Tamandua tetradactyla: one gene and its partner. Each later gene encodes a partner of the first gene's protein in a complex. Links are inferred from orthologs where the notes say so. Each region holds a gene or a part of one and is shown on either strand. Other genes may lie near its edges. The genes, in order: KDM4A and H1-4.

Region 1 (9,781 bases):
CAATAATAATATAGTAAGTTAACAAAATAATTAACATGAGAAATGAATCAGATCCATAACTGATCTAGAAGGAGGAACATATGGTATAAAGGGAAAGGAAGAAAGGATGGAGGGAGGGAGGGATGGACAGAAGAAAGAGAGAGTAAGGAAGAGCAAAGGCACACAGGAAAACATACGGCACAATGCTATTCTGTTTAGAAAATAAAACATACAGTCTTATATGTGTGCACATTTGTGTGGGCAAAGCAAAAGGTGTGGGATGAGATACACCAATCAATTAACACTGATTACCTTAAAAGACAGCACACTGGAGAAGGTGATGAAAATTAACCTTTTCTTTGTCTATCATTGAATTATTTAACTTGTAATAACCAGCATTAATTTTTTTTTAATTTTCTTAATCTAATGAAGGAGAACCAAAAAAAATAAAAAGACCTATGAAAAAAAGGTATATTGAGAGTCCTGCTGCTTCTATTTGCTACTAACCTTACAGAAGCTATATCCATATATAAGAGTAAAGAAAGAGATGTCTCAAGCCTCAGCAAAGGCATCAGAATCCAAGGACTGGTCCTCAGCTTTGTAATCAATGTCCTTGCTTTCTTTTCTCAAACTGATAAAGTAATACATGTACATAGTAGGAAATTCAAACAGTATAAAACAGTATAGGGAAAAGCTTTCTCCTGGCTCAGACTGAATCTCGTCTGTGAATTTCTTCATTTCATCTTTGGAGATTCAAGAACTTGACTCTCCAGAATACAGCAGGGGTTGATTCAACTCAGGAGAAATAACTAACTCACAAAGAAAGACGCACAAACCAGAAACCAATCTAAAATTACAAAGATAGAATATTCATGTTGGGCAGGCCTGTGCACTAGCCCATCTTGAAGAAAGTACACATGGAAAGTTAAATTACTATCAGAAAGCTGGATGAGACTGAAATAAGAGAAAGAAAAGTTGGATGGCATAAGACATTGGACAGATAAAAAACACCAAAGCATCCATCTCCACCATAAGGACCAAAACACCAGAACAGCTGTCCTGGAGACACTAGCTCTTTACCTCCCCCCCTTTTTTTTAAGATTCCCAACATCTCTCTCCCTTTCTAAAAGTAGCCATTCTTCAGGTGTTGAAATTCAGTTCTTCCAGCATCACTTAGGAAAAATCTTACTGTTGCCCTCTGTTAAAAAAAAGTCATGTTGAACAATCTCACCCCTTACCTTGGCCAATCCAGCCCGATGAGCTCCTTGAGATTCGATATAGGCAATGTACCGACTGAAGTTCCGGAACTCCTCCATGGTTGGATAAAAAGTCATTATCCGAGCACTGGGGTTCAAGGTTTCAGATTCGGATGCCATTTTTCCCTCCTTGTTGAGGTCACTTTGGTCAGATTAGAAACTAAATAAATATATTAAAAACACAAAATGATACAAAATATAATAAAAATTAAATGCTGGAATGTCAGTGTTGAAAATAGTGAAAGATTACAAAAATTCTGAAGAAATACTAAGATATCACAACACTTGGAATATGACTCTAGAAGTTAGAGGAACCTAATGTCAAAATCCAAATACAATAGTAAAATCACAAATTTGCAATAATGTAAAACCACTATATGGATACATGAAAGTAAGACAAATAAAATACAGGAGAAAAGGAAAAAAAGAACCTGCTGTATCAACATCGTTAGGTATTCAAGTGTCATTTAAATGGAGACACTGTTTCAGATACAAAAGGGGAAACTTTGGTTGTTGGACCACCCTACTACAGCTGATCTGTTCATATTTTATCCTTTTATCTTTTCAAGACACACCCTAATCACACTCTAGTAATGCCTTCTCAGAGAATTAAATATAATGTACTTCAACCAGATTAACAAAGCCACCTAAGGGTCACTTCTAAAGCGGCTTTCAAACAGGATTTTAGATTCCTTAAAAAGTTACACGGTTACAAGAAAGAAGAAAAAAAGTTACATGGCTACAAAGTTTAAGGGTTAAAAACTACTTTAATATCAGTAGCATGAACTATATAATATGTATACCATTTTTATATTCAAATGCACACTCCCCCTTCTCCTCCATCCTCTATAACCTGCTTTTTATCTAGGTAAATTTGGTATTTCTAGTCATCCCTTAAAAGCGATACCATGTAATATTTGCAAGCTATGATTTTTAAAACTGTAAAGTGAATATGTTCTCACATCTAAACCACATGCAGCTTCAGCATATTTAATAAAGCCAAGCCAGAGACTAGTTTAATTGCACTGTACCCAGAACTCAAAGGACAAAACGAGGTAATAAACTGGCGACACAGGGCAAACTTCATAACTGACTGTAGAAGGTAAAAGAAATACGTGATTATGTTTTTAGAAGAAGCCTAAAAACGTAAGGCTAAATGGGTTTGCTATCCATCACCTAGTAACAGAATAAACGTTTTCAAATGAGAAAGGACAAAGCTTAGCAGCTAAAAGGAGCCAGTTTATGGAAGAAAAACTGTATGCCCTTTCCTCTACTGAACCGCCTCACCAAAGGTACGGGAGTTCTTCTTGCCTAATCTGGGCCTCAAAGCCATGACAGCCCAGTTCCAAGAGACCCACTGAGAGCTGGACAGTACTCAGAGGGAAGGAAACTGTTCCCAACCTACCACCAAAAATAACAACCTTGTGTTCCTGGCCAGGTGACCAAACTTTGCATGGCAGGTATGCTGTTATGCCCGTTTTACATACCAGGAAATTTGCCCACATTGGTGAAAGCACTCCTAGTATTATTCTATTACTCTATGAGACCAACATCATTATCTCCACCTACATTAAGTCTTTTGCAAGGGCAGATCCAAGTGTGGAAAATAAAGCTTGTTCACTGTTGTGGATCCCCTTTAAACAAACAAACAAAAAATAATTCACAAATATCTCACTTTTGAAAATTTTACAAAAACATATGGTGCGGACACCCTATTAGGGCCCCTCCCCGGGCCTTGGAAGGGGCCCATTTTCATCCATCTCTGGCCCTATTCATCTTCGTATGCCTAGAATCTAGAACAATGCATGGCAGAGCCGACACTGATAACTGTTGAATACTGATTTCTCACCGTCACCTCTTGCTCATGCCCTTTCTTCAACCTTCGGATTCCCTTTCCCCAGTCTATTTCATGCGGTAAACTTCCATTCCCTGACACCTTCACTCCCCGTATTAGGCAACAAAGCCTAATGGTTCAAGAACACAGACTTCGGAGTCAAAACAACTCCGAATACATATCCGGTCCCTGCACTCACAGCTGTGTGACCTTGGCTGTGAGAGTTATCTGAGCCCGTTTCTTCACCTGCAAAAAGGGGATCCCAATCCCTTGCGTTGTACGGTTGCCGTGATTAAGTCAGATGATGCAAGCGAAACGCTAAGCACTAGGCCCGCTACTCAACCACTCAGCAAAGGAAACTGTTGCTAACAACAGCCTCGAGCTACCGCCCCCTCCCCTCGGGGTCGCGTCCGCGGCCCTCGCTCCACAGGTAGCAGCCCCCGCGCTCAAGGTCCCCGAGCCTCACCGGGTAGAAGTCCAGCCCCGCCCGGCCCCGCCGCCTAGGCGACTGCGGCCCGGCCGCAGGAAGAAGAAAATAAGGCCTTGTAAACCCGCCCCCTCCCTTCCCGACATCCATTGGCCATAGAAGATTGGAAAACGCCAATCTCAGGATTCATTTTAAAAGCTCCTTTTCCCATTGGCCGAGAACCATGCCTATCACTCACCCCTCCCCCACCGGGACTCACGGTCACAACTACGGCGGCAACATACCTAAACGATTCCGAAATTCTATGGTTATCACCTAAAGCCCACCGCCCCAGCAGGGCTTAGGCTAGACTTCTGCTCTCGCCACTAGCCGATCGTACTGATTTCTCAGCCGGCGAAGGACGAGGCTCCGCCTCCTCGAAAGTCCGCCTCTGCGCAGCCGCGTAGCGCACCACGGAGTCAACCAATCCGAGGATCGCTATAAGCCCTCAACCAGCCAATGCAGAAGCGCTGCAGGCGCCTCAGAGTCCGGGATAACAATCTGCTTAACCTATGAGCGCCGGCTCGGGCTGTTGCCAGGAGGAAACTCTGTACCACTTGGGACCGCGGCCACTGAGCATCTCGTCTGGATCTTGGAGCTGGCCAATCGTAGGCGGGCTTCTGGCCATCCGTAACTAATCAGGATTGAAAGAACCGGGTACCTAGAAATGGAACGGTCGGGCAGGTGGGTAAGGGTGATGAGGTTGTGGCAGGGTGTTAACGAAAGGGTGGGGTCGTTTTCTGAGGGTTGCCGTTAGGGGCAGCTTTCGAGGACGAGGAGTTCCTCATATGGTGACCAACTTCTCCCAGTTTACCTGGGACGGTCTTAGGTCGGAAACTTAACGTCGCGTGTCCTAGGAACCCCCTCAATCCTCAGGTCACCCAGGTTCCTGAGGACAGTTAAGAGCAGTGCCTGGGGGAGAGAGCCCTGAGGGTCGTTAGGACGGGTCCTGAGGGAAGGGTAAGTGTCCTGAGGGTCATTAGGCGTATTTCCTCAGTGACCGGGGATTGGGGGTCATTAGGAGCAGCTCTTGGGAAGGTCTAGGGAGTCATTAGAGGCACTTCGAGAGGGCAAGGGGGTTCCTAGAAGTCATTAGGGGCGGTTCCTGTGCGGTAGTGAGTCCCTTTAGGAGCTCACTGATTGTCCGGGGGAGGTGGGGAGGAGGCGGATAGGACCTCCTTATAGATCAAATAGGAAAATAGAATACTTACAACCAAAGTCATTTTTAAAATGTTGACAGAATTACCGAGGTTGATAGAATTACCGAGATGAGTAATGGTTTAGTGCACTGGAAAGAGCTATAGGATCAAACCTGTCTTCAAAACCAGGGCATTCTTCTGAACCTGGGTTTTCCCATCAATAAAATGAAAAAGATAATACCTGCCTTGCAGGATTGTTGTGAAGATGAGAATTAAGGCATGTTGGAAAAAAAAAAAAAGACTGTGTTACATAGAATAGTATGGAATTAGACCAATCATGTTTGGGCCTAGGCACGTTGCTTCTTGAAAAAGAAAAAAGAAAATATACACCCTATACCTATTTCAAAAAAGACGGTAAACCTGGATATGCAACCAGTAGTCTTTCACAACAGTTAAAAGGTTTCTCTCCCTTGACCTAGTAAAATAATACCCTCGATAATTATACCGGGTGGCTGGCAAAATTGCTGGAAGTATGGAGAATCCAACTTGGAGGATACCCAACAAGGAAAACCATGCAAATCATGCAGCTGAGATAATCCACCACCTTCCTTGCTGTTGCCACCAAGCTCAAGATGTGGTGTCTTCCCTCAGGACTCCACTGTCCTGGACATGGATACAGTTGCTAACATTCCTGTTACTACTGACTGCTCCATGAACTGGTTCTTATTACATCTCTCACTGCTGCCAGAGAGGATCTTCCATGGTCCCTGTTACTTTGTATCACTGGCTCACAGCTGGTGTATGAATTTGATGGGCAGAGCCCTAGATCATCTTCTCTTGACATCCTTCCATTTCTCTAACTAGTTTATCTCAGTCTCCTTTTTAAGCTCATCTGTTCCTTTGCATCCATTAAATGTTGGTCTTTCTAAGCAAAACTAATGTACGGTGATAAAAAAAAGTTGTGATTACTTTAGGGTGGAGCAGGGAATCACTGTGAGGAGCACAGTGCTTCTGGGGTACTGATCATGTGCTATTTCTTGACCTGGATAGTGGTTACAGTGTTGTATTCACATTGTAAAAATTCATTGAGCTGTACACTTAAAAATGTAAAAAATTCTATGTACGTGTTCTACCTTAACTTAAAAGAAACAGAAAAAAATGGACAAAAGACTTGAGTAGATATTTCTCAGAAAAAGATGTACAAATGTCCAATAGCACATGAAAATATGCTCAACATCATTAGCTATTAAGAAAATGCAAATGAAAATCACAATACGAATCAATTTCATACCCACTAGAATGACTTTTATTTTTAAAAAATGGAAAATTACATGTGTTGGAGAGGATGTGGAGAAATAGGAACACTCATTCATTGTTGGTAGGAATGTAAAATGGTACAGTTGCTGTGGAAGACAGTTTGGCAGTTCCTCAGAAAGTTAAGTATAGAATTGCCATATGATCCAGCAATCCCACTTCAAGGTATATGTCCAGAAGAACTGAAAGCAGGGACTCGGACAGATGTTGGAACACAGGTGTTTATAGTGGCTTTATTCACAATTATCAAAAGATGAAATCAACCCAAGTTTCCATTAACCAATGAATGGATAAACAAAATGTATATGTCACATTTAGTCTAGAGTGGTAATTGTTATTTTTAGATTTTGAGAGGTTGTGCTATCTATGTATAACCTGGTATTTACTTGCAACTTTGGGAACCTGTGTGACACCTAAGACTCAGAGTATATATATCAGGCTTCAGTTAGGGATAAGAATGGAGCCAATCAGGTCAGGACTAAGGTAAATCAGAATACAGGGGTAAGGTGGACATTGTATTTTCTTTTTTCTTTTTTGTATGCTGTATATGGGGGTCACATTTCATTCCTTTTCCATGCGAGTACTCCCTTATTGCACCATTTGTTGAATTTTTTGTTTGGTTGGGTTTTTGTTGGTTTTGCTTGCTTGTTTGTTTGGGAAGTGCATGGGTCAGGAATCAAACCCAGGTCTCCCACATGGCAGGTGAGAATTCTACCACTGAACTGCCCTTGCATCCCAAGGAGGACATTATATTTTAGTACCTACCAAGCCAATGGGAACAAAGAAGAAACGCTTTTTGTCCAAAAACCTACATTTTTGGTAGCACATAATCTAAATCAACCAGTCTGAATAGATCATTTAAACAACCCAAACACATGGAGCCTAAAATGGGAATGAGGGCTTATAATTCTGTATAGCTTAATTTAATGCCTGGATGCATCCTAAAGTATGTTGAACAGATAATTATAAAGTGTTGGGGGCTAGCCACGATGGCTCAGCAGGCAGAGTTCTTACCTTACACACCAGAGACCCAGGTTGGATTCCTGATGCCTGCCCATGCAAAAAAAATAAAAGGGCGGGGTGGGGGAGGGAGATAAAGTATTGGTAAAGTCCCTTGAGGGAAGGGAGTTTTAAAAAAGTGAAACTATTAAGCTTTACCAGGAGAGAAAACCCTGATAACCTTCTCAAACCAAATCAATAGGCCAAGCCCTTGATCTTGAGGCTTGCTCATGTGAAGCTTATTATGTGGTAAAGACACCAAGCCTACCAACAGTTATGCCAAGAGTTCCAAAGGACCTTTTCTTGTTGCTCAGATGTGGTCCCTTTCTAAGCCCAATTCTGCAAATAAAATTATTACCCAACCTCCTAAGTGGGACATGACATCCAGGGGTGAAAGTCTCCCTGATAATGTGGGATCTGAATCCCAGGGATGAGCCTGGCCCTGGCACTGTGAAATTGACTGTGCCTTCCTGACCAAATAGGGGGAAAGAACTGTAGCAAATAAGTTATCAGTGGCTGAGAGAATTCAAATAGAGTCGAGAGGCTATTCTGGAGGCTACTTTTACACAAGCTTCAGATAGATACTGCTATTTATCATGGTTTGCCAAATGGCAACCAAAACTATTCCTGCCAATCCTAAAGAACGCCTAGGGCTCTGAGATTCTACAAAAGTTCAATGCACTATGATTACTTACCAGAAACCTACAACCTTCAGATGGGCATCTGTTTTAGTCTGCCAAAGCTGCCAGAATGCAACACACCAGAGATGGATTGGCTTTTAATAAAAGGGGGGTTATTTAGTTAAAAACATACAGTTCTTCAGAGGAAAGGTAGCTAACTTTCATCTGAGGTTTTTTTTTTTTTTTTTTTTTTTAAATATGGGAAGGCACAGGGCGAACTCTGCTGGCCTTCTCTCCAGACCTCTGAGTTCCAACAGCTTTCCCTGGGGTGATTCCTTTCTGCATCTCCAAAGGCCTGGGCTGGGCTGAGCTGAGCTGCAAGTGCTGAGATGAGATATGCTGAGCTGCTTGGACTACTGCTTTGAGCTCTCTCATTTAAGCATCCAGCCAATTAAATCAAACATCATTCATTGTAGCAGGTATGCCCTCTAGCCAACTGCAGATATAATGAGCGACAGATGAGCTTCACATGCTATTGGCTCATGTCCATAGCAACAGAACTAGGCACCTTCACCTGGCCAAGCTGACACCTGAACCTAACTACCACATGCCCACCCCTTGTCAACTTGGCAACTATACACATCACCTTAAACAATATTAAAGTGGCAAAAATTCTCTTCTGGCTGTGGACCTATGAATCTCAAAACAAGTTATCTTCTGCCAATATGCAAAGGACGGACAGTCATGGGATACATGTTTTCGTTTCCATAGGGAGAAACTGGAAGAAGCACAGGAGTCACAAGACCCAAACAGTTCTGAAAACCTGCAGAGCAAACTCCATTGGATTTCAAAGTCTGAAAGTCATTTAACCTCAGGGCTTTAGAAAGTGGCAGTCCCACACTTTCCAAGCCCATGCAGTTACTTTACTCTCTCCAAACACTGGGGTGGTTGCAAGCTTGGGGGACATTGGGAAGACCACTTTTGGCTCAGCTCCACCCCCTCCAAGCTTCACGGCAGCACCCAGGATCTCTGCCATCTTCACGGCATAAACTCAACCCCTCCAGAACACTGGGGTAGTAGCCAGGCTCTCCCCAATCCCCTGTTTATGCACTCGACCCTCTCCAATGCCTGGAGTGGCACAACTCTTCCTGAGCAATGATGCAAAGGGTTTGCCCTCTGCTCCTGGGGCAAACTCACCTCCTCCATGTATACAGGTGGGTCCACTCTCCTGGCCTGAGGTTTCTTGGCTTCAGAGCCAAGCTTCCATGGTTCTCACTCTGCAAACTCCAATTTGTCCCTCTTGTGTTCCCCTTTGTCCAGATTGGCAGTGGTTCCATTTACACCAACAGTCTCTTCAAGCACTTCAGGCCTTCTCCATCATCCTCTTCACAGTTCCTCCAAAATTTTCTTCCCCTTATCCATCCCAAAAACTGTTCCAACATGTCTAGTATTTGCAAACTGCAGCAGCATCCCACTTCTCCGGTACCAAATCTGTTTTAGTCTGCCAAAGCTGCCAGAGTGCAACACAGCAGAGATGAACTGGCTTTTAATAAAAGGGAATTTATTTCATTAAAAGTGTTTAGTTCTTCAAAGGAAAGGCAGCTAACTTTCATCTGAGGTTCTTTTTTACACGGGAAGGCACAATGCAATCTCTACTGGCCTTCTCTTCAGGCCTCTGGGTTCCAACAGCTTTCCCCAGGGTAATTATTTTCTGCATCTCCAAAGGTCTGGACTGAGCTGCGAGTGCTGAGATGAGGTATGCTGAGCTGCTTGGGCTATACCGTGTTGAGCGCTCTCATTTAAGCATTAGCCAATTAAATCAAACATCCTTCATTGCAGCAGGCACACCCCCTAGCTGACTGCAGATGTAATCAATGACAGATGAGCTTCACCTGCCATTGGCTCATGTCCATGGCAACAGAACAAGGCACCTTCACCTGGCCAAGTTGACACCTGACCCTAACTACCACAGCATCTAAGCAGATAAGTCCTGAAACCCAGAGGGGCCAGCTTCTCTAGAACATCAACTAATCCATCCCCCATCCCATATTATCAACACCCCTTTCCAACATGAAAAGTTAGAATGAGCATAGCCCAAATACCCCTAAAAATTGGGAGAAAGACAAAAAAAAAAAGAGGGAGTTTCAACAGAGAAGATAGGATTTAACAAATGA
Region 2 (8,326 bases), on another chromosome or scaffold:
TTTTTCAATCATGATGCTGTAACAACTGGGTATATACATGAAAAAAAAAAAGGAATCTGAACACAGACCTTATACCTTTTCCAAACATTAACTCAAAATGAATTGCAGACCTATATTTAAAATGCAAAACTATAAAACTTGTAGAAGATAACATAGGAGAAAATCTAGGTGTCCTTGAGTTTGGCAATGACTTCTTAGTACAACTGCAAAAGCATGATCTAAGAAAGAAAAAATTAGCAAGTTGGACTTTATTAAAATTTAAAACTTCCACTCTGTGAAAGACACTGTTATGAGAATGAAAAGAAAAGCCACAGACTGGGAGAAAATATTTGCAAAACACATATCTGGAATATGACTACACCACTGAATTATATACTTGAAAATGGTTACAATGGGAAATTTTATGTTGTTTATGTGTTGCCACAACAAAATATTTTGAAAAAATATGGAACTCCACAACATAAAGAATAGACCCAAACAGAAACTATAGACTTTAGTTAAGAGCATAATAATATTGGTTCATTAACTGTAAGAAAGCTTCCACACTAATGAAATGTTAACAATAGTTTGGGGTAGAGACATATATGGGAACTCTACTTTCTGAAAGATTTTTCCGTAAATCTACAACTATTCTAAAAAAATAAATTCTAAAAAAGAAGAAAAAAGCCTCAAGTAATTGACAAAGGACTTGTATCCAAAATATACAAAGAACTCTTTAAACTAAGAAAACAAACAACCCAAGTAAAATATAGGGGGAAAGTGGAACAGAAACCTAGCCAACAGGAAATAAGCGTATGAAAAGATGCTCAGTGTTACTTGTCATTAGAGAATTGCAAATTAAAACAAGGAGATGCTAGTTGTAAATGGCTAAAAGCCAATACACTGACAATGCTGAATGCTGGTGAGGATTTGTAGTAAAAGAAACTCTCATTCATTGCTGATGGGAATGCAACATGGCACTGGCACTTGGGAAGACAGTTTGACAATTTCATACAAAGCTGAACAAAGACTTAAAAGGTGATTCAATCATCACGCTCCTAAATATTTACCCAAATAATTTGAAAACTTATGCCCATGCAAAAATCTGCACATTCATACAGCTTTATTTATAATTGCCCAAGCTAAAAGCAACCAAGATATCCTGCAATCAGTGAGTGGATAAAATGTGGTACATCATACAATGGAATATTATTATTCACCAATAAGAAGAAATGAGCTATCAAGCCACAAAAAGGGAGGAAACAAATGCATATTGCTAAGTGAAAGAAGCCTTACATACTGTAGATTCCAACCATGACATTCTAGAAAAGGCAAAGCTATAGAGACAATGAAAAGATCAGTATTTGCCAAGGTCTAGGAAAGGAGGAAGCAACTGTGGATAGGTAGACCACAGGGCATTTTTAGGGCACTGAAACTATTCTGTAAGATACTGCAATGGTGGCCATATGGCACTATGTAGTTGTCAAGATCCACAGAACTGTACAACATAAGAATGAACCCTAATGCAAACTACCAACTTTGGTTAAAAATATAATTATAGTAATACTGGTTCATCAGTTCTAACTAATACAGTACACAAAGCAAGATGTGAATAATAGGGTGTGTCAGTTTGACACTGTTGTGTACCCCAGAAAAGCCATGTTCTTTAATCCTCATTCAATATTGCTGGGTGGGATCTTTTTTACTGTTTCCATGGAGATGTGACCTACCCAATTGCGGGTGGTAACTTTTGATTAGTTGGTTTCCATGGAGATGCATCTCCAGCCATTCAACGTGAGGTTGCTTACTGGAGCCCTTTAAGAAGGAACCATCTTGGAAAAAGCTTTAGTGCCAACAGAACCTATACAGCCAGACACCTGTAGAGATGAAAGAAAACTCCCCCAGGGAAACCACTGAAGAAGCTGGGAGAGAAAGCTAGCAGATATGGTCATGTGCCTTCCTGGCTGATAAAGGTGTCCAGAAGCCAAAGACCCCAGCAGACGCCAACCACTTGCCTTCCCAGCTGACAGAGATGTTCCACATCAGCCTTTCTTGAGTGAAGGTACTCTCTTGTTGGTGCCCTAAATTGTTCATTTTCACAGCCTTAGAACTGTAAATTTACAACTTAATAAATTCCCCTTTTAAAAGCCATTACGTTTCTAGTATATTGCATTCTGGTAACTTTACAAACTAAAAGAAGGGAAACAGTGGAGTGGGTTTATGAGAACTCCCCGTACTTTCTGCACAATCTTTCTGTAAACTTAAAACTGCTGTAAAATTAAAAATTATTACTTAAAAAATTCCAGTATTATCATTTTTCATTTTGTACCAGCTTTGGCCATTAAATGCTTCTTTAGATTCTTTGTTTTTTCCAACAATTTCCCAAATTTTCTTGAACATCTCCTTGTTTTCTGGCACCACAAGAGATTCCAGACTCATTCTATATTTTCTCTGCCCCAACACGGGAGCCAGTCACTTCTCCAAGGAGCCCTGGTTTGTTTTCATTCAGGACTGGTACTTAGAAGCCAAGGATTGGTTGCTAGGCGTGTTCGTTTTTAGTAGAGTGTCACTCCTTATAGTCACTCTAAGCTGTCAGAGCAAGGACATATACGTGTGTGTACTAATCCATGCATAAGCACATACATCTATGTTTCTTATCTATATAAATATACAATTTCTCCATGTGGATAGTATCCACAGCACAGAATTGCTGTATTGACTAAATAAGAAGACAGCAGCACACAGTGCTGTAGTCAGTAGTAGGGATAATTATACAGTGTAAAATGGGGTAAGGAGCAGAGACACTGTACTTGGCTATTTTGGTAACCAAAAGACAGCCAAGGGCCAAGCCACTCTCTGTGGATAGAGAATAAAGCAGAAAATGCTTGATTTGTTACTCTTCTTTCTCCTTCTCCAGCCTACTCTTGTGCCCAGTCAAGTGTGAATCCAAGTAAGTCAAGACTGAATTGCTGCTGCTCCGATCCTTCCAACTTGTGATCACATCCAGCATGGACATCTTCATTAAGGTTTCACAGACAAGCCCAGCAATCCCCAGGAACATGACAGAAAACACTTTTGCCTTGTTGATGACCTCTGGTGAGATTGGTTTGCAGACTTAGCTGGACATCAGAGTTACTGGCCAAACTTGTTAAGTATTCAAATTCTGAAGACCGTCTGGAGACTTATTGGATCAGAATCTTTTGGATCAAGCTCTTGAATCTATATTTCAAACATATGCACATACACACACACACACACACACACACACACACACACACACACACACAGGATAGTTCTGATATAACCTGCCAGGCTGGCAAAGCAGAAGTACAGCCTTTTGATATTGATCCTATAATATCATAGAAATGTGTCAAATAAATATTTGATTTAATGTTGGCAGAACTTCAATGTCTTCTCTAATTCGGTGAAGAAGTTTTATGTATAGGTCTATTTAATTAAAGAGTATATAGGAAAGCACTCTGTACAATAAGAGCCCCACAGAATTTGTTATGTTTAAGTAACTCTGAGTCAGAAGCAGTGAGGTATACGTGGAATAAAGTGAGCTATTTGAAAGCAAACTTCAAAGTGTTGTACAAATTTCAGTCATTTGTGGGAGTAGTTTAATTTGTCATTAAAAATGAGTACAATCCCTGAGTTCTAGAGTCAAATGCCCACATAATCCAGTTGCCCTAGTAACCATGAAGGTGATGTGAAACTGCTTACACATTAAGGCTGAAGAAATATTGATGATTTACATCATTTTTATAAGACATTAAGCATTAATTTTAAAAGACTATTTTGAAACACTTCATTAATGCATCAAAGACCTCTATTCTCCTCTATTTCTGTAGTGCGGTTTGTGTGAATGGAGAAAACCTGGGGTAACAAAAATTAAAATGATGCTCAATGCCATGCTGCAGCTAGCCAGGTACATCACCTTATAACCTAATGCAAAATTGTATGTTGTCCCTCTAACTACTTGGCTTACAGCTTTTAAGACAGTTACAGACCATTTTCCAGGAATAATTCCTTTAGCTGGACTTTAATTGTCAACATATGTTCTTCCATTGTTTGGGCAGCTACCTATAAACAAACCCATTCTTTCAGGGGCTTTGTAAAGGATGTCTTCAGAGAGTGGTCACATAGTTTCAATAGCCTCTCAAAGTTCTGCTTCTGAAATGGAAATTTAAACTTGTTATTGAATCCTTACATGCCACTTCTTTTCTTTTTTAAATGGAGATCTGGGAAGCATTTGACCATAATCTTCAGAGGACCTGAAATCAGATTCTGAGTTGGCTAGTCATTCATCAGCTATTCAGTAATAATAGGGCCTGAGTTTCACTAATAATGTGAATAGATGGGCTATAATTTATGCTTCTCATTTATTTTTCCAGGTCTAACGAGTATATTACAGTTCGGTCCTGAAACATATGCCCAAAGAACTCAGCAAGGCTGCGGATAAATTCTTCAAAGTAAAGTGCATCCCCACTTCCAGTCACTTTCTGAACATTGTCTGTGTTTATTGAAAATGCACCCTTCTGCATCTCTGTACTCTGACAGTGTTTTGGAACCCCCTGCTTTCCCAAATATCTTGAATTTAAGGTAGCTCAACCCAGGGAGCAGTTGTCCAGAGGAAGAGAAGCAACAGCCCCGCCCCCAACCCTTGGGAGCCGAAAGGAAAAGAATTATCCTAAGGAATTGTTTAAAATAAAACTAAAACCCAGGTGAAGCGGACAGAAATAAAACCATGACTGTATAGACTGAAGTCCTGAGTATTCCCGAGTTAACCCAAAATGTACAATAATTTGTTTGGGATTAAACTAAACCAGTTTGATGAACTCAAATGCCCTCGGCTCAATAGGCAGGACTCTCCGAGGAGCCTGTGTTACTTCCCTCACTTAAGCGCAGATTTATAATAAAAATCTTAAAGATAGTGGCATGTTTTTTTGACATGTAGGAAGCTAACCACTTGGAGAATCGTATTTGAGAGGTCAGAAAACTCCACACTTAAAGATCAGGTTATAATTTACGAAGAAAATAGAAAGTTTTGTTGCTCTGAGTTGAAATTTGCCGAGGATGGCGGGAAATATTGATGGTTTTTGGCATAAGGATTTGTGCTTCTCTTATATTTTGAGAACTGCGTGAAGTCTGAGGCTTCAGGGATCATTTTCTGAGAAAAACTGGGCAATTCGGTGTAAGGAATTTTGATATTTTTGGCCTTTTTTGAGGTGTAACAAACACAACTCGGGATCCAAGAGGACACTCTGCGGCTGCCAGCGAGGCGGGCTGGACAGCGCACCAATCACCGCGCAGCTCCGCCCTTATATAAGCCGGCGGGCGCGGCGGCGGGGCCCGAGTCCCGGCCAGCGCCTCTGTTTCCGGCTCGAATTACGCTCCCCACGCCAGCCCGCAGCATGTCCGAGACTGCACCCGCCGCGCCCGCCGCTCCTGCCCCTGCAGAGAAAACGCCAGTGAAGAAGAAGCCCCGCAAGTCTGCGGGTGCTGCAAAGCGCAAGGCGTCGGGCCCCCCCGTGTCCGAGCTCATAACTAAGGCCGTGGCTGCCTCTAAGGAGCGCAGCGGCGTGTCTCTGGCTGCGCTCAAAAAGGCTTTGGCGGCTGCTGGTTACGACGTAGAGAAGAACAACAGTCGCATCAAGCTTGGTCTCAAAAGCTTGGTGAGCAAGGGCACTCTTGTACAGACCAAGGGCACTGGTGCTTCCGGCTCCTTCAAGCTCAACAAGAAGGCGGCCCCGGGAGAAGCCAAGCCTAAGGCTAAGAAGGGTGGTGCGGCCAAGCCCAAGAAGCCCGCCGGGGCAGCCAAGAAGTCCAAGAAAGCGACGGGGACGGCCACCCCGAAGAAGAGCGCCAAAAAGACCCCAAAGAAGGCGAAGAAGCCGGCGGCAACTACTGGGGCCAAAAAGGCAGCGAAGAGCCCGAAAAAGGCAAAAGCAACCAAGGCTAAGAAAGCGCCCAAAAGCCCAGCTAAGACCAAAGCGGTGAAACCTAAGGCGTCCAAGCCAAAGGCGTCCAAGCCGAAGGCCGCCAAGCCAAAGAAGGCGGCAGCCAAGAAGAAATAGGAAGTTCCCTTTGGCCAACTACTTAAAACCTTCAATACAACCCAAAGGCTCTTTTCAGAGCCACCCCACACCTGAAGGAGAGCTGCTGCACTTTCAGGGGGGGCGTGGCTGGTAAGAAGCCACGAAGGCGGGAGGGCGGGCCTCCTGGGCAGGAAGAAGGTTGGCGGGAGTTTCCTATTGGGGGGTACAGTACAAAAAGTTGGAAGCGCTGACGGGTTAATGGTGTGGGCGTGTGTTCTCGGCAGCTTGGGTTGGTTGGTCCTGCTAGCGATCCTGCTAGCAGTGAATGCACATGGTAGAGAGAAAACGACAGGTTTCCCGGACTTTCGCGGACCTTGCTGGGCAGTGGGAGAGCGTGGCCGTAACAACCCGCGCTATCTTCAGCGGCAGCCGCACACCTCTCCAGGCGATCGGTACGACTACTGGGGACCCACCCACTAGCCCTAGGCCAGACGCAGTCAGCAGAGGTGCTTTCAAAAGCAGGGAGCTGGGGATTCCACACAAAGGAGAAGCTAATGTATTAGCATAGTTGGCCTGTCTGCTTTCTGAAGCATCTAGCGCTCGGTGTCCGAAAAGGTTCATTTTATAGTACGCTCTGGTAGTCCTGGTGTTGGCTTTCTGATTGGGTCAAAGCAGAGTAACGAAATAGCCAATGAGAAAGTAGACCTGCAAAAAATCATTTACGTTCGCATTTGTGACGACATTCTGAAATTAATCCAATCGTAAGTGAAATCCTATTAACTTAATTTGAATACCGCGTCTATAAATAAATGCGACCTCACTGCCACGGGGTATTTCCGCAAGTGTTTGATTTAGAGTCTGTCTGTAACGTTACTATGCCTGAGCCCACCAAGTCGGCCCCAGCCCCGAAGAAGGGCTCCAAGAAGGCGGTGACCAAGGCGCAGAAGAAGGACGGCAAGAAGCGCAAGCGCAGCCGCAAGGAGAGCTACTCGGTGTACGTGTACAAGGTGCTGAAGCAGGTCCACCCCGACACCGGCATCTCGTCCAAGGCCATGGGCATCATGAACTCGTTCGTCAACGACATCTTCGAGCGCATCGCGGGCGAGGCGTCGCGCCTGGCGCATTACAACAAGCGCTCGACCATCACCTCCAGGGAGATCCAGACGGCCGTGCGCCTGCTGCTGCCCGGGGAGTTAGCCAAGCACGCCGTGTCCGAGGGCACCAAGGCCGTCACCAAGTACACCAGCTCCAAGTAAACCTGCCAAGTAAGCGTCTTTACGCCTAACCCAAAGGCTCTTTTAAGAGCCACGCATGCTTTCAACAAATGAGTTGTCATCTTTTAATCCCAAAAGTTATTGTTGAATTTATCTTGCCAAACTTAAAGGCACGCTACCGTTCTTTAATGTCTCATTAGCTGTGTGGGGCACTTGTAAGGATCCGTCAGTGATAACAATAGCATAAATTGAGCTTTCAGTATGTTTAAATAATACAGTTCTATAGGACTCATTTAGTATCCCATAACTAGATATTAACAAGAACTGACCTTGCCATTTGAAGTGTAGAGCTTTTGTTTTCATGTGTAGATCTCTAAATTGATCATAACTAATCCTACAACAATTTGAAGAACTCGATGATGACTGTGTCACCCTGGGCAGTGACAGCTTTATTCTGCTTTGAGCTTTACTGTTTACGTGTATTGCTATAATTGGCTGAGGATGGTGTGCATTTTCACAGACATATTACAAAGGTTTTACCAGTTCGTTTTGCAATTAGGCCAATTTCTGCCTAAACCTCTGATGGGGCCAGGGGAAGGTGGGGAAAAGAGAAGATGCTGTGTCTACAAGGCACAGAGGGGAAGGGGATATAGGTGAGCAGTCTGCAATAACTTCAAGTGCTGTCAAGTTAAAATTTCTTTTGCAGAAGTCTGATCTCTTTACAGACTCAGAGAAGTCAATCTTCTTAAGCATTCTGCTTAAAAGTCGTCCTGGTAACTGGAGAGAAGCCTAATCAATTCCCGTGACTGAATATGGGTAGGCAACAGTTAGGTAAGGAATGAGTCCCCCCACCTCCGCCCCCACCCCTTTCAGAACCCTTTTCCAAATGTTCCTGAGTGTCAAGGACATGAGGAGGTAGAAAGAAAAGCAAAGTTCCTTCTGCTGGGTAAGACAGGATGTCATTCAGGATTTTCTTTCCAAGAAATTATTGTGGGGAAAATAACTCTTAAGAGAGATTGGAGGGAGGTAGGAGGGAGCCACCAAGAGAAAAGGAATCAGTCCTCAGAGTTAGACAACCGCATTGCAAATGTATGA

What was found.
Region 2: the proteins of KDM4A (region 1) and H1-4 are in contact, whole or in part, in a crystal structure (PDB 6H8P), measured with the Homo sapiens proteins. The link is inferred for Tamandua tetradactyla from reciprocal best matches to the Homo sapiens genes KDM4A and H1-4. Residues at the interface, in NP_055478.2 of Homo sapiens: Ile71, Asn86, Ala134, Asp135, Asn137, Thr167, Ile168, Glu169, Gly170, Val171, Tyr175, Tyr177, Glu190, Asp191, Ser196, His240, Lys241, Ser288, Thr289, Asn290, Asp311, Met312, Val313; in NP_005312.1 of Homo sapiens: Ala24, Arg25, Lys26, Ser27, Ala28, Gly29.

What each region holds. Positions count from the first base shown.
Region 1 is NC_135328.1:180,349,164-180,358,944, forward strand, and holds the start of KDM4A (lysine-specific demethylase 4A), read right to left. Parts: upstream 3,940-9,781; 5' UTR 3,781-3,939; exon of another isoform or gene 3,536-3,780; intron 3,446-3,535; exon of another isoform or gene 3,316-3,445; intron 2,870-3,315; exon of another isoform or gene 2,805-2,869; intron 1,396-2,804; 5' UTR 1,356-1,395; coding exon 1,218-1,355; intron 1-1,217. UniProt on the Homo sapiens protein: Histone demethylase that specifically demethylates 'Lys-9' and 'Lys-36' residues of histone H3, thereby playing a central role in histone code. Does not demethylate histone H3 'Lys-4', H3 'Lys-27' nor H4 'Lys-20'.
Region 2 is NC_135351.1:29,456,201-29,464,526, forward strand, and holds H1-4 (histone H1.4), read left to right. Parts: upstream 1-5,343; 5' UTR 5,344-5,393; coding exon 5,394-6,056; 3' UTR 6,057-6,169; downstream 6,170-8,326. Other genes in the region: histone H2B type 1-M-like, read left to right, coding at 6,827-7,273. UniProt on the Homo sapiens protein: Histone H1 protein binds to linker DNA between nucleosomes forming the macromolecular structure known as the chromatin fiber. Histones H1 are necessary for the condensation of nucleosome chains into higher-order structured fibers.